Rattus norvegicus: one gene and its partners. The protein of the gene in region 3 interacts with the protein of the main gene of each other region in a pairwise test. Links are inferred from orthologs where the notes say so. Each region holds a gene or a part of one and is shown on either strand. Other genes may lie near its edges. The genes, in order: Slc38a7, Atxn1 and Sar1a.

The links.
Region 1: the proteins of Sar1a (region 3) and Slc38a7 interact in binary tests that used the Homo sapiens proteins (3 or more experiments, as listed by UniProt). The link is inferred for Rattus norvegicus from reciprocal best matches to the Homo sapiens genes SAR1A and SLC38A7.
Region 2: the proteins of Sar1a (region 3) and Atxn1 interact in binary tests that used the Homo sapiens proteins (3 or more experiments, as listed by UniProt). The link is inferred for Rattus norvegicus from reciprocal best matches to the Homo sapiens genes SAR1A and ATXN1.

The regions. Positions count from the first base shown.
Region 1 is NC_086037.1:9,226,708-9,231,571, reverse strand, and holds the end of Slc38a7 (sodium-coupled neutral amino acid transporter 7), read right to left. Parts: intron 4,587-4,864; coding exon 4,439-4,586; intron 3,988-4,438; coding exon 3,788-3,987; intron 2,649-3,787; coding exon 2,594-2,648; intron 1,655-2,593; coding exon 1,552-1,654; 3' UTR 1,247-1,551; downstream 1-1,246. UniProt on the Homo sapiens protein: Symporter that selectively cotransports sodium ions and amino acids, such as L-glutamine and L-asparagine from the lysosome into the cytoplasm and may participates in mTORC1 activation. The transport activity requires an acidic lysosomal lumen.
Region 2 is NC_086035.1:18,941,849-18,948,033, reverse strand, and holds the start of Atxn1 (ataxin-1), read right to left. Parts: upstream 4,266-6,185; 5' UTR 4,073-4,265; intron 4,016-4,072; exon of another isoform or gene 3,862-4,015; intron 2,925-3,861; exon of another isoform or gene 2,783-2,924; intron 2,747-2,782; exon of another isoform or gene 2,545-2,746; intron 2,385-2,544; exon of another isoform or gene 1-2,384. UniProt on the Homo sapiens protein: Chromatin-binding factor that repress Notch signaling in the absence of Notch intracellular domain by acting as a CBF1 corepressor. Binds to the HEY promoter and might assist, along with NCOR2, RBPJ-mediated repression. Binds RNA in vitro.
Region 3 is NC_086038.1:30,174,822-30,179,870, reverse strand, and holds the end of Sar1a (GTP-binding protein SAR1a), read right to left. Parts: intron 4,855-5,049; coding exon 4,723-4,854; intron 3,161-4,722; coding exon 3,044-3,160; 3' UTR 1,153-3,043; downstream 1-1,152. UniProt on the Homo sapiens protein: Small GTPase that cycles between an active GTP-bound and an inactive GDP-bound state and mainly functions in vesicle-mediated endoplasmic reticulum (ER) to Golgi transport.

The DNA of each region.
Region 1 (4,864 bases), on a different chromosome or scaffold from region 3:
ATTAACCATCCTTACTTCTCCAAGTGTGCTTGAGTAGAAAAGAACCAGCAAGAAACTGGAAACAGAGGGCAAAGGAGAGGGAGGAAGGGGGTCCTGAGGTCAAGCAGAAGCTGGGTTCTAGCCAACTGTCCCAGCTAGCCAGTCTCTGTGCCACGTCTAGCTTTATGATTGGCCACCATGAAAGGCAGCTTTGGAGGCTGGGGGAAAACAGTATAGTGGGACCAGAAAGAATGGGTACTGGGGATGGATGGGAAAGGAATAATCCAGCAGGACTGGACACTGAGCCTCCTGCCTCCACAGGACTGACCTGAGTTGGGGATGGGGGTGGGGTCGTCTTCTGGGAAGGGTCCCTTTTGCTCCTAGGATGTGTTTTACACAGAATAGATTTAGAAAGACCAATTCTGGACCTGGGACTTACAAAAGTGAGCAGGGGTAGGTTCGAGGCTAAGGCAGTCAAAATAGAGAAGTATCTAAGCTGGCCTCACCTGAGGTGGGTGTGACTCAGCGGGACTCCCAGGCACAGAGGCCAAACCTGACAGATGTGTGGAGCCAGGCAAGCCGGTGTGACAGGGTCTGGTGCCACACCCTCTCCCGTCAAATAACAAGACCCATGCATGAAGAGGTAGGGCTGGGGGAGAGGGATGGGAGTGTGGGACTGGGGGAGATGGAGAGTTAAGGAGGACATCCAGGGTCCCCAGTCTAACTGGGTCCTGGGGCTGGGTTTAGCGGGAAGAGAGAGAAGACAAGGCGTGGAGGAGCTGGAACCTTGCCTGGACCTTGGCAAGCCCAGCCTGGAAGGATGGTCTAAAAGGTCCTACCCTGAACTTCTGAAAAGACGGGCCTATCTGGAATCTGAAAGACAACAGACCGTCTGCCCATGCCAAAAGCTAACGGAGGAGTGCTCACAGCACCACGGCATGGCAGCCCCCAGCCTCAGAGCCAGGCTGGCACCGTTTGTAAACATTAGACTCGGTGATGTCTGGGAACACAGTAGAAGCATACCAGTACAACATGGACCGTTAGGACTGGACAAAGTTAGGGTAGGGACCCTAAAGACTTGGGAGGCTACCAGAGACTCAGGGGACATTTCTATGATGTTGGCATCTCCTTTGGAAGTTGCCAGGTCCCAGGAGACGCTGCCAGTGGCTTCTGAGAGACATGGGCAGGCACTAAGCCCCGAGGTACTGAGCACAGTCCTGACACACTCTGTGTGGAGGCCAGCCCTGTGCATATATGCTTTCTGTTCTTTTTTTTTCCAGAGGGAAGTCAGAATAGGCTCTCTCTTCTGAGACCCACTGACTCTCTCCATTCCCAAGTCCCAAAGGCTTGAAGTTGAGAGCTGGGTGAAGGGGACAGTCCTGTGCTATGGACCGCCATCAGGAAACAAGGCAGCTGGGCAGGATCTGTCCACAGATTTGCGGCTGATTGTCTTATGACTGTCCATGGGGAAGGTGTCCCCATGTCATCTCACTAGCCAGAACAGTACGTGGGACTTGGGCAGCTCCACAGCTCTGAGAGCTGCATCTGGTCACATGTTTGGGGAAGCAGTGTTCAGGCTAAGAGGTCCACAAAGACGGCATTGGCTGTGGTCTGGCCAAAGATGAAGGCTCCCAGGGTGACCAGAAGGACTCCATAACTGACCAGTGCCCACCAGCTGTAGGGCAGAGGACAAGAGAATGTTTCAGTCGTTTGGTTTTTTTTTTTTTTTCACATTTCTTCAGACTCATATATGTAACAGCCAATACAGTCAGTCACCTCACGTCTGCGGGCAAGGCACTTCGGGCTTCCCTAGGAATTTCCCACATAAAGGGATGTGACCCTACTTCACCATCAAGGAGACCGAGGCCTAGAGGGGTTCCTAGAGGGGCTAATGCTGAAAGGGACCACGGCAGTAGAATGCAAGTCTCCCAGTGGGAAGATACTCGGGGGGGAAAAAGCAGGGAATGAGGTGTTTCCCTCAAAGAGAAACAGTGCAGGGGCTGGAGAGATGGCTTGGTGGTTAAGGCTACATAGTGCCCTTCTAGGGGATCTCGTGTGTGTGTGTGTGTGTGTGTGTGTGTGTGTGTGTGTGTGTGTGTGTGTTTCTTACTATGTAGCTCTCTGGCTAGCCTGGTTCTCACTATGTAATGTAATGGCTTACTGCCATTGTCAGTTTGACTGAATTTGGAGTTGCCTAGGATGTGCCTATAAGAGTGTTTCCAGAGGGGTTTAACAGAGGAGGGGAGCCTCACCCTAACAGGGCCTGAACTACTTCAGGGGCTGAGGTCCTGGACTGACTGAGAAGAAATGATGGAGAAGGAAGGCCGAGAGCCACTGCCGCTGGTCCCTAACCTATGACACATGTCCACACTCCTCCCACCCCTGCCTCTGGGACCGGCTGTGCCCCCAAAGCACGAGTTGAAAACTTTGACTTTTAAGCTGTTTCACAGCACCAGGGACTCTGAACCCCTAACAACCTCCCCTTAGCCTCTGAGTGTGGAGACAACAGCAGCATGTGTCAATCCCCAGAATCCCCGAAAGTTCAAGTGTTCGGCTCTCTATTTGAAGGCCCCTCTTCGCCCCCTTGAAAGGCGCTGGGCCGGCCCTGCTTTACCTGGCCGGTTTGACCTCTTCCATTTCTGAGAGTTTGGCTTGGATGAGGCACAGCCCTAGAAGGAAAGATGCAATCCTGAGTTTGGGGGACTCAGGGATTCCCTCCCGAGGCCCAGCCTTCCCAGCCAAGAGGCAGCGTTGGTGATGGAGAAAGGCCTGTTTCTAATGAGTCTGATATCCTTGTCCTCTGCCTCAATCCTCGCCCAGCTGGCCGCCTGCCCTCTGCTCTCTCTTGATGGGCCAGCACAGTAGCTAAGAAGTACCCCTAAGGCTATATTCAGGACTCAGAGCTAAAGTAACACTGAGTAGGGACCCAGTAGTGCCTCACACCATCTGGCCTACTTCAGAGCAGGTATGGCTCCCTTGCTCCATGTCCAGTGGGATGGGCTTTGAGGAAGCTCCTGGACAGAAACAAACTGGATCCAGCAGAACTCATAGGCACACACACAAGGCGGGTTTCAGGGGGTCTGCAGCTGATCCTATGTCAGCTTAGGTCTCATGACTCCAACCTTAAGGTGCCACGGCCAGGCTTCCTTCCCTCTGGACTGGAATAAGCTAGTCAGAACTTGAGTCAAGAGTGCACACATTTGGGGTTGGGGATTTAGCTCAGCGGTAGAGCACTTGGCTAGCAAGCGCAAGGCCCTGGGTTCGGTCCCCAGCTCCCGGGAAAAAAAAAACAAACAAACAAAAAAACAAGAGTGCACACATTTGAATGAAGGGTTCAAACAGAGACCCTGGACCTGGGCCTACAGGGCTTCAAATGGGCCATCGAGCTTCTTATCTGCTGGTTTGAACTCTCAGCTTAGTGCTTCTCAACCTTCCTAATGCTGTGACCCTTTAATGCAGTTCCTTGTATTACCAATTAGCCAATTACAGAATCATTCTCGTCCCTTCATAACTGTAACTTTGCTACTGTTGTAAGTCACAATGTGACTTATTTGATATGCAGGATATTTAACCCTGTGAAAGGGTTGTTCAACTCCTGGGGTGAGGACCACTGCCCTGGCCTCTCATCGCCTCAGTAAATCAGAGATCACACCTTCTCTCTAGGAGCCAGAGCTGGGATGGCAGCACGGAGCTGAGCCTTGTCAGTGAGCAACAGAGACTACTGCTTATCCTGTCAGCCGGTTGAGCCCCTGGCTGAGGTGAGGTAGCTCCTGCTGTGTGGTAGCGATGGGGGCGCCTGGGTGTGTACCTGGGAAAATGAAGATGAAGCAGGCTGCCAGGCCTCCGATGACCGAGATGACCTTGCCAATGTCAGGGATAAAGAGTGCTAGTAGCAGGGTGAGTAGGAACCACACCAGCGTCTGCAGGACCCGGCGCCGGCGCTCTCGGCCCACGTCCTCCTCCACGGGCGTCCCCTTGTATCGCAGCCACAGGCCTTCCACCACAGCCCTGCTCACATGAGGAGGGGCTCAGGGTGCTTTGGGCAGTGCACGGGGACGAGATGCTGAGTGGGCAGTGTGGGGTCCCTGAGCCTGGGTCCTCATCTGTGACCAGCAGTGCCCTTGGTTGCTACGGGCTGCAGGTAAGTTTATGAAAGGCTTGGCCTCGTCATGTGAATACGGATGTCATTATTCCCCTTATAAAAGGAATAGTGTGGAGTATCCAAAAGGCCGTCTGGGTTCATATAAAAGCTCAGAAAAGGATCTGGCCTGGAGATCCTTACAAGGGCTTACAGAATGTGCTGGAACCAACAGGTCTGGCAATGAGTATGGGAGAGGGCATCCTGGACACATTCTTTTCTGTGGGCTTCAGTTTTCCTTGCCACAAAATAGGTTCCACATAAGACCATGTATCGTGCTAGCTCCCGGGGGGCTCTGGACAGGGTGGGGAAGGGGCTCACCGCCCACAGAAGTGTAGGATGGGATAGGAGGTGAGGACGCTCAGGATGATGAAGGCTCGGGCAACAGCCACAGCCACGTCCTCTGAGGGGTAGGACCGGAGCACGTCAGGATCCACGGCAGCTCCAAAAGTCAGGAAGCCGCAGATGCCTGTGGATGAGGACCAGGGGCGGGGTGAGGACAACCATGGGAGAGTAAGGGGTAGACCATCTAATCTTGCTAGGAGCAACATCACTCAAGAGAGAATGCTGCAGCAGCTTGGGGAGTGAGGCCGGGGCCTCAGAAAGGAAGCCTGCCTTCTCAGATGTCCTTTGATGGTGGGCCCACCAGCCCCCACACTTTTCTGCACGTCGGTCAGGTCTCAGTTCAGATGTCCCCTCCTCAGAGCGTGTAGACTTACCCACGCACAGTCGACCCCACCCCGGACA
Region 2 (6,185 bases), on a different chromosome or scaffold from region 3:
CTATCTGTTGCAGAATAGAATCGAGGCCCTCCAAGGTGTGTATAAAACTTAAAACGTCTGTCTTCTTAGTTTAGATCCTGGTTTCACATGAACTTACCTCTCAGAAATAATAGCTTGTTTTAACCACAATGATACCTTACTGGAACAGGCCACAATAACGTACCCACCACATAAACTCAGTAACCAGGGGAAACTCATAAACCCCCTGGGAGGAAAATTGGGCAACTTTTTCAGTCTTGGCACTAGAGAGGTGAGAGATTCATGTTTGTGGGAGAGGTGTTTCTCTAGTTGTCTTTCCCTCTCTTCTCGTTTAACCAATTTAGCTGCTTGGCCTTAAAACTATAAACTGACGGGCAGGGTCACAACTAAATCATGTCACATTCAAAGTTCCTAAAACATTCCCCTTCATCTGGACTGTCTGAACACTGTTGGGCTCCAGCAACTAAAGCTGCCATTTTGTTATCTCTTCGGTCATAATATAATCTTTCTGGCCTCAGTAGGCTTAAGGTAGTGCCCAAATGTAAACACTGGACTGCAGTGCTCTAGATGTTCATTAAATTATACCCTAAGGTACTGTACAAACTGTTTACTGTGCAAAGTTCTGTGCATTAAGCTGGCTTGTATCCTCTCTAACTTAGCTGCAAAAACAAAACAAAAAAAAACAAAAACAAAAACAAAAAAAACTTTCAATTACTTCTGAAGATCATCAAAGGTCAGGAGCAACAGATCCAAATTAAGGAAGATAATATTCAGAATGCCTGCCTACTGTCAGTATCCATTTTTTATAATGGAGACCGTCAAGTTTTAAAACGTAACAGTGGGGATAGGCTTTCCAAATAAACCATCTCCTTTCCGTAAACCATCTAGAAAGCCAGCCAGCACTGTCAGCAATTTTGACTATAAAGCAGGGGTTGTGCTCTTCTCTCACACTTGAAAGGGTTAAGTGCCTGCAAGGCCAAAGGCTCTAGACTGCAAAAGAAATGTTGCTTTAGTCAGCTCTGAAAGGTTTCTAGCAAGTATCAAATACTTGTTGATCTGCTCACAATAAACACCAGCAGGATTGTCCGGCTCCTTTCTCTGTCTGGGGAGAGGCATTTACATATTGTACCCAGTAGGAACAGCGTGTTGGTTTCCTTTAGAAAAGCTAAGTAGCTAGGAGCCTCATTCAGTGTCTCCCGTTCAGATGACTTGAAAGAAGATGCAATTGAAACAGTGAAGTCTCTCCCCTCGGATTCGGGCAGTTCAAATACCGTGCATAAAACACTTGGAGTAGTTCAGGCAAACCCACCTGAATGGGCCAAGGAACACTGTCTGTTGCCATGGCAGCCTGATCTAATTACATGAGTGATCTGGGCTGGAGTAAGTGTACAGAAAACTAACACCACAGACAGTATCTATGATGAGAGAGGCAGGCGGGCAGGAGGTTTCTCAGCCTCGGCTTTATGTGGAAGGTGGCATTCAAGCCCACTTATTTGCAAAGCTGCTAAAATATTGACTGATGCGTGGCCAGTTAGAGGACAATCAGAGGAGATTAAATGCCACAGTTAAGCTGTTATGGTGCAATCCCTTTCCAAGAGGGCTTGTGCATGTTTTTCCTCTCTCTGGTGGCTACCTCTAGCTTCCGCTGGCATAAGCTTCATTCAAAAATAAAATAAAAATAAAAATAAAACCCTCGGCTATCAAACTGTCTCAGCTACCCACCCACCATCAATAAACCAGAGGTTTAGGCTTAACGAGGGCTTCTAGGAATGACAGGGCTCTTCAAAAAGCCACACAGAAATGGTTTAGCAAACACTCTTGCAAAAAGTAACCAGCTGTACCTAAAAATACCCAGCCTGTAACTACCTTGTTGCCTACGATCTATAGCAATGCTGTTTAAATATTAAGAAGAGCTCGCATTATAAAACAGAAATGTCACTGAGATGACACCACTAGATTGCTACAGGGAAACATAGGACATACACACATTCCCCTGCATGCCAGGCAGGATGTGAGGTGAGAGCTCTAAAGCATTACTTTTTCTTCTGTAGGTGGTGTGGGGTCTTCTAATTTTACTAATTGTATCCTGTGACTCTCTCTCTGACAAACTAAGAAATCTCTTCGGGGACAGAACCAGTTTGGAGGAGTTCCTACTGCACAACATACGGTAAACAAAATAAAAATAGCTTGCCTTTCTTGTTAGCCACATAGCGCATTATATAACCAGCTTCCGACTGGCTCTTTTTTTTTCCGCCCTTACTACTCTTCAACAATTTCCCAACCTTCCCAAGTATTTATATTACCCTCTTATCTGTAGGATTATACAGCAAGAAAGCAAAAACAAAACAGGACAGCCACGGGATCGAACTAAACCCTTTCGTCTTAGAACCCTGATTCTCCCACCCCGCCCCCCACCCCCACCCGGCGCCCCTGGTAGAGTCTAGACCAGCACCCTACTTCCACCCCCCACCACTAAGGTCCTTGCTCAATCTCTCTAGAAAACCTGAATTGTTTCACCGCTTGCAGTCAGCTCTCTACGTGGTCTGAAATAAAATGAAAGCTCACAAGCCACAGAGTTGAAGGAGGTGGCTAAAGAGAGGTCGAAGGGCTGCAGAGTCAGCTAAGGGACCACTGTGGACCCCACTCCCCATCGCGATGGTCCTGGCCCCCCGCCCGGCGCGCGAACACACGCGCACGCACACACACACACACACACACACACACACACACACACACACACACACACACACACGCACCTACACACTCACACGCACTTACTCCCTGCTCTCCGACCCCGCCTCACCTCTCGCTCCGCCCGTCCGGCCCCTTCCCTACCCCCTGCGGGACTGGCCTGCGCGCTCGGCTGCAACCACGTAGGAGGCGGCGGCGGCGGCGGCAGCCCGGGCAGTGGCGGCGTCTCGGGCCCCGAGTGAACGAGCCGCGGGGCTCCGGGGCACATCCCAATCCCCGCAGCGCCTCCTCCGCCGCCGCCTCCTCCTTCCCCTCCTCCCGTCTTCATTCACCCTCCCTGCCGCCGCGCAGGAGAGCAGTCCCGGCGCAGGGCAGCGCCCGCAGCTCCTCCGCTACTGCCGCGGGCGCCGGCAGGGACGCCGGGCCGAGCTGGGGCGCTCGCGGGCTCCCGGCTCCCGGCTCCCGGCTCCAGCTCCGGTGGCGGCGGCTGCCGCTGCTGCTGCTGCTGCTTTGGATCAGGAAGCGGCCGCACCAACAGGGCGGCGGTGGCGGCTGCAGCTAGGGCCGGTCCCTGTCGCCTCTCCCACTGCGCTGCGATGGCCCGCGTGCCCTTGCCCCCTGAGCCGCCACCTCTCCGCGCCCCCGAGCCTCCTGCAAGTCCCCTCTAGGTCCCCTCCTGGCCCCGAGACGCTGGCCTGGGCGGGGAGACCCCAAGCTCGGGGTTGCCTCTCTCAAGCTAGGCGACCCCGGGCGGGGAAGCCCAGCCCTCCCTCGAGCCCCCGCAGCGCTCGCCGCCCCCACTCGGGAGGGGGGCTGTTGAGGAGTGAAGAGGGCAGCGCGACCCTCCGCGGCTGCCGCCTCCCCCTACGCCACACGGAAGGAGGAGGACGGGGCTCTATGCGCTCGCCGCCGCCGGACCAGCAGCAGCCGGAGCGGGGCGCCGCCGTTCTCCCCACCCGCGCCCCCCGCCCGGGCGCGCCCCCTCTCCTGGCGGCCGCCCACCCAGCCCCTAGCTGCTCCCCTTGCTAGCCGCTCCTGCTCCCAGTGGGGGTCCCGAGCCGGGAGGCAGGAGCCGGGCACTGGTGTATGTACACAGTCACACATACACTCGCGCGCGCCTGCACACACACCACACACACACACACACACACACACACACACACACACACACACACACACACACACACACACCACGACGCGTCGGTTTCCTTCGCTCCTCTTCCAGCTGTTTTCCGTGCAGCCCATTGAGACTGGGGGAGGGGGGTTTTATGCTGGATGTTTCTTTGGCCCCCTCTCCGGAGAGAGCGGATTGGGGTGCGGGAGGAGGTGATTTTAATCTAAATCGGGGGGAGGGGGAGGGGGGAGAGAAAGAATCAGAGGAGGAAAAAAAATAGCCACTTACTGTAAAGTGTAAATGGATCTGGGGTTGCGTGGGGAAGGGGGAACAGAGGGAGAGACACAGTGTCCTGCGGCTGTTGTAGCTCTAGCTGCGGCTCCACGGGGCTTGTTTTGGATCCCCCTGCAGTGAAACAGGTCCTGTACGGCTCCTCCACTGTAGTAGAAATGATGTCTGCGGTATACTCTGCTCTCTCCTCCTCCTCCTCCTCCCCCCTCCCCTCCCTCCTCCCTCCGCCCGCCCTCCCTCCCTCGCGCTCTCTCTCGCGCTCGCTCGCTCGCTCCAGTATGTAAATGTGTAATAGAAGCCAAATATGGAGCAGTTGGCTGCCGCCGCCGCAGCTCAAGGATCCGACTTCATGGGGGGGGGGGGGGGGAGAGGCACCCTCTGGCAGGCGGCCCGGCGAGCCGCACAGAGCACGGCGAGCGCACGGCGCGGCTGCCGGCCCGCGCCCTTAACCCTTCTATGCACCCGGGCTGGGGCAGCGCTCGCTCCAGGGGAGGCCGGGTGTCTCTCCGCAACTGCGACTCCAGATCCCGGACACCGACCGGAGGGAACTGTGCCTTCCAGGTTTGAGAAAGGGGCGGGGAAGTTGGGGCGATGAGGTCATTGGAGTGGTGACCGATCGGTGCTCGCGCGCCTCCCCGGCTCCCTGCAACCTAGTTGGAGGGGGACAGGGTGAGTGCAGGGTGCAACTCAGGCAACCTGGGAGACTCAGAGCAACGGGTGTCAGGCTTTGACTCCCACCTGGTAAAATACCCAAGGGGGCGGGGAAGTCGGCTGATTCTAATTACGAAGCACCCAGGGTGCCCCTGGTGAGCATCTAAGAGGACTCTTTGTATCCCCGCGGTTAACTAGCCAGCCCGCCAGTCCTGAGCCACCCGATGCTAGGCCGGTGCCTTCTGCCTTGGCTTGCAACTCCGGAAAGTTCTCAGGCTTCCCCAGCTTGCACCGGCACCCTCACCTTTCCTGCCTGGACAAGCTGGCGACCTCCTGGGCCTCCTTTCAAATTCTGCTGGTCTAGAAATCTGCTATGAGCATCGAACGTCTCAGCTCTAGCCCTGGTAACCGAACTGCTGCTCACTCCTCACAGCTAACTGTGGACCATTCATCTCATCTCAAGTGAGGTAACCCGTGCACTGAGCAGTGGATGGTGGTTCTCGGGAATCCAAGGCGAAAGAACTTCCCACCTTGGCCCGGTGGCTAAACGCAGACGCGGAGTCCCCACCCGCCCCCTCCGGCTACACCTCAGCCGGGTGTGAGCTCCGTGGGAAGGAATCTTCTCCGGAGGAGTGCACCTTGCCAACAGGTGTGGCATCCGAAGGAAGAGCCCGCACCTCCCCAGGAGGGTCGCTCGGTGTGGCGATCTCTTTGCTGCAGATAATTCTTGAAGACCAGTAGGTGTCAGGCCAGCATCTGACCTCTTTCAGGTGCTTAAAACTAAGAGTCTGGAAACTTGATCCCTTGGTCTCGCTGGAAGCCACTACTATTGACTGTAGCTGGATTTGAGAGACCTTTTGGCTCAGTTTACGTAGGACCTAACAGTTAGTCACTATCTGAAGCAGCGTACAGAGTCACCGAGAGAAACGTGTGAGCTTTTAAACTACTGTATTGTGGAGCCCGCACTTCAGAAGTTAAAAAAGAAATGCCGTGTGTGTGTGTGTGTGTGTGTGTGTGTGTGTGTGTGTGTGTGTGTGTGTGTGTGTGTAGGATACAAATCTATTCTCAGGTTTTGAAACACCGTGCACACATCCACGGTTGTTTAAATAGAACTACAACTGTTCTCTTCCCCCTCCCCGCCCCCACCGCCCCTCTCCCCCGTAACTGTGTTGTTCACTTAAAGATCCATGATTGTTAGACTTCATATGCTAAAGTGACATTACTGGTCTCCTTACAGCCTCTAGTGGACGGTTAAAGTGAGTTTCCTGTGGAGGCTCTGTCTAGTTTTGTTTTCCCTTCTGCACTTTCTCCAGGTGAAGGTTAATAGTTCAGAGCTTAACTGACTGCTATCTTTCACTCCCTCTTGGTAAAGCTGTCTTTGAAACTGAACAGAAGCTTGTTGGCTGCGTGTGGAAGAGAGGCGTCTGCTTTGTGCTACAGGTATTGTTTCTGCTGGCCT
Region 3 (5,049 bases):
CTCATGACTCAGGCAGGCAAACACACATACACTTAGATACTATAAAGGAGGTCCTCACTTTCCAAATTATGTCCGACAGGTGAGCAATAACAGGTATGTTTGGAGAAACTTCATAAACCTCCCCAAAGTATGCTTTGAATCACTAAAATAGGTATTAACAGTGAGATTTCTAGCATACTGTGAAAAAAAACCCATTTGTTTTGTTTCATAACTTCTCGTAATGAAATTAACACTGGTGTTGCTTTCCCAGCCATCACACCTATTGCTTCCAGTGCTCCTGTGTCACAAACCTACCTGAAAAGGGAAAACAGTGGCTGGAGGTGGGGGAGGGAGGCAGGGGGCAGAAATAAAGTGGCCTTCTCAGAGCAGGCAGTCCTGGTTTGCAGACACAGATGACCACAAAGTCTACCTTCCCCAACTTCCTGGCAATTAAGACTCTAGAATCCAATAATTGTCCCTTGATGCCCTTCAAGCCTCCAGTCCTGTTCCTTATCAAGTTATCTGTTTAGGGCTGGTCACAGTATAGATATCCCAAGTCAGCCATCAGCATCTAATGTTAAAGCCCTCAGAACTAGACTCTGACTCTCGGGTCCCTCTGTCCCCAGCAAACACTCTTTGCCCACAGAACCAGTCTCCTTCCCCTGTAAAGGTGACCTCAGGGCACATCCAGCATGTTGTGTTTTGGATTTTGTTCTGTCTTCTGGTGCTTTTTTTTTTCCCCAGAGCTGAGGACTGAACCCAGGGCCTTGCACTTGCTAGGCAAGTGCTCTACCACTGAGCTGAATCCCCAACCTCTGGTGCTTTCTATAAGCAACAATAATGTAAATGTGAAATCAGACTTCTGTTTTGCCAAGTATGGCTCACTCGGGATATTGGATGATTCTGCTAGCTAGTATGTGCAAGCAGTCATTAGCACTGTTGCAAAGATGACCAAAAACCTCAGGCATGATCCAAGATGCTCAAACAGTACTGCATTTGCTATTAGTTCCCAGCCGTTTTCCCTTTGCCTTTTATCCGGGTAGCAATTCAAGACTCACAGTCTCTGCAAATGTTCCTCCCTGTATGTAAGGGAGAATTTTTGTTTTTCTTCCCAGCATTTTGTATTCACTCAGAGCAAATCAGTGGAAAAAAAAAAAAAAAAAAAGAGGCAAGTTCATTTTAGCTTTTTATTAAAATGCTTAGGATACAGACTGACCTTCTTTTGTAAATGACAGTTTTACGTTTGCTGAAACAGGACACGTGCACTCTGATAAACAGAATGAAGTCTCAGTTCATTGGAGCCCCTGGTCAAGGCCCTGGCCCTCAGGTGGAGTTGCACTCACTGCAGCAACCTCTTGGCCAGTTTATGGAAGATGGTGCTCTGTGCAGCATGAAGCAGACTGGTGCCACTTTTCAGCCATCTCTTTCTCCAGTGGCTAGAATAAACCACTTTCACAAAGAGCCACCCTGGACAGGGTCCATCCAGTCTTCTAGGTTGTTTCCGAGCAATTAGGGACAAACGAGAAAGACAAATGAGGAACCCAACACCGAGGCCATCACACCTGTCATGTGCCTGGACAGACATGTGGACAGTCTTTAGCCAAGGCAATGAAGGGCACACCCTACCTACCCAGCTCACTCAAGGCTTTAACAAAGGCCCCTCCGCACTGACAGTTCTCATTCCAGCTGTCCGTCGGTGAAGGCAACACATGCAGTTTGCAGACAGACACCCCACCGAGCCTCTGCATTGGGGACCTGGCAGTGTAACAGAACACTGTCCCATGAACTCAGTGCTCAAAACTAAAACGTGATAAGTCACTCCCCGGTGTGCTCCTACCTTCTCTACCCTCACGCTGGACATGAGTCTGACAGAAAACAGCAGCAGCATAATTTCCACTTACGAACGTACTCACACGGTGCATTAGAGGAAATCAGAATCAAGACACCCTCCTGTCTGCAGACCGTCTCATCCACTCCACGGGTACAATACAAAGTTAACATCAGGAAAATTCAACCTCACACACAGCAGCAAGACAAGCAAATGCTATATATAAAAGTCCTGTTCATGGTCCTCACAGCCGCTGCTGCCCCCACACTAGCACTCGCTGCTGCCAGGCCACCTGGGTTTGCTCTGTTATTTCTGAAGAAAACACAAGAGCCCCTCAGAGTTTTTCCTAGGTTCCCTCATTGCTTCCAGATCAGATGGGTAGCATCTCACAGAATCTAGAGCCTTAAGCTGCTGATTTTGCCCTGCATCCTGTTCAGAACCGTCCCTCTAGCGTATGTTCAAAAGCATCAGAGTCACACCCCCAGCACAGGGTCTACATGAGAGATGTCCTTAATTCCCTCATGAGGCAAAAGTCACTTCTTATATCTACAGTGAAAAAAGGAAGGTGCTACACAGAGAGATGAAATTCCACAACAGTATAAAAGCAAAGCCTGCTGAAACCGGTAACTGCAAATGAAGTTGACAACGTGATCATGACACTTTACCCACTCCAGATGATGGTGGAGACCATGGCGGGTAAGCCAAGGCTGTCCTCTCCCCGCCTGTGCTCAGGCACCACCTTCAACAGGCAGTCACACAGCGAAGCTCTGGCCTCCATCGCGCTATCTGTTCATAATTTTATGAAATATCTAAATTTCATTTACTAGTTTAAAAAAAAAAAAAGAATAGAAAATCTGGACCAAGTAAATTGTGAACTCAAAAAGTTAGAGAAGGGATACCAATTACATTAACAACACTTTCTTTAAAAAATAGAATCACTTTCTTTTGAAATCAACCAGTGGTGAGACATGTTTTTCTTCTCGGGTGTCCCATGATGGCACCCAGCTTTCCCTGGCAAATGCTGCCAGCCCCGTCCCGGCACACTGCCCGGCAGCAGCCGCAGGCAGTGTGGAGAAGAGCACATGTCACCACTGGGCAATGAGCGTAGACAGATGCGTGGCTTCTCAATGCCATACATGGTTGGAGAGCTTTCCTTGTTCTATTAGAAAAGTCCATGAGGAAGCTGTGAATAGGATCAGTCCAGAAGTAAAACTCTTTATTTTCACTGTCCAAACATCAGTCAATATACTGGGAAAGCCAGCGGAAACCCTCGCCGTAGCCTTGCCTCTTGAGCACACTGCACATGAACACTTCCATGGGGCGGGCGTTCAGCTCCTTCAGAGTCACATTCCCCTAAGGGAGGCAAAACCCAGAAAGGTCTGTCAGGACCTCCATATTCAGTAGCACAAACCCACACAGACCTGAGCTCTGATCTCCAGCACCACAGAGGAAGCCAGGCACGATGGCCCACACCCGAACTTCCAGTGCTGAGAGTAGAGACAGGTGGATGCCTGAAGCTCTCAGGTCAGTCAACTTAGCCCAATAAATGAGTGCCAGAGCTGACCTCGGGCCTCTGCATACATGAACAAGTATGTACATACACACTAAGTACCTGGCTTTATTTCTGTATTTTCTCTCTCATCAGCCTGCCTTTCTAGACCAGAGCCTCCCTGGTCTAGATATAGTATAGACAGCTGGGCACACTGATATAGGATATCCCACTTCTATTCTGCTTTTATTATACTTTGCCATGCAGTCCTGAACAAAGTACTGTTCCTTCATTTGCAAAATAAAATTAAAGAGTTTCACTTCTATCAGCAAGAGGCACTAGGATAACCAAATGCTTTTATCGTAATACCTGAAAAAGCATATATAATACTTTTTAGGGCTGGAGAGATGGCTCAGCGGTTAAGAGCGCTGACTGCTCTTCTAGAGGTCCTGAGTGAGTTCAATTCCCAGCAACCACATGGTGGCTCACAACCATCTGTAATGGGATCCAATGCCCCCTTCTGGTATGTCTGAAGATAGCTACAGTGTACTTATATATAATAAATAAATCTTTAAATGTATATATGGATGTCTGTGGCAATGTACAGGAGAATGCAGTGCTCGTGGAGGCCGTGGGCATCCCTGGAGCTGGAGTTACAAGTGGTTGGGAGCTGCCCAATATGGATGCTAAGAACCAAGCCACCTCCTCAGCCCCAGAAACTTCTTTAAGTGGATTGAAGTCAGATACGCTGGCACTTGCCTTCAATCCCAGCACTGAGGAGGCAGAGACCAGCATATCTCTGAGTCTGAGGCCAGTCTGGTCTACACAGACCTTGTCTCAAAAAATAAGTAAATACTAGCATCACATGGTGGCTAAGAAGCATCTGTCAAACACCAATGCCAGGGTGAGCAGCACCACCCCGACACCATGGGCATCGCAGTATGCATGGTACACAGTCACACGCAAGCGAACACACAGACATAAAAAATATTGAAAGAAGACTGCCTTTTGTAACACACCTTCATTTACTGGATACAGAAGACAGATAAAGAGGGCAGGCGTATGGCTGAGGAGTACAGTAATTACTTAGCACAAAGGCCTGCGCTCAAGGCTTTCTTTGTATCACTGGGAAGGAAAGAAGAAGAAAGGAAGAGAGGAAGGAGGAAGGAAATGGCTAAGGAAACACCCGAGAAAACACTCACACTCAAGAAGAGATACTGTCGGGGCTGGGGATTTAGCTCAGTGGTAGAGCGCTCGCCTAGCATGCGCAAGGCCCTGAGTTCGGTCCCCAGCTCCGAAAAAAAAAAAAAAAAAAAAAAAAGAGATACTGTCTCAAAACACACATACACACACACACAAAGAGAACACAGCCATGCTTAGGTAACATGGATAGCCTCTTCATATGTCCCGAGGACTTCCTGCTTACCTTTCCTGTGGTTTGCCCATAGAGCCCAAATATTTCACGGAGTTTTTCTTCACTGATTGCATCTGTCCTGTCAATTTTGTTTCCCAAGATAAGGATTGGCACGTTGGATATTGTCTCATCAGTCATTAAAGCCTAGGGATAGAATTAAAAACACAAACCCAAGTGAGCAACTTATGACATGAACGAACAGAACTAATAGAATCCAACTTCCACGGGCTTCCTAAGGCAACATGACGGCTCATCTTGGCATTAAGCGCTGAGCAGAGCACAGAACTGAAAAGCCTCGGCATGTTAACAAACCTGGGTAAAAGCAGAATACAGCAGGTG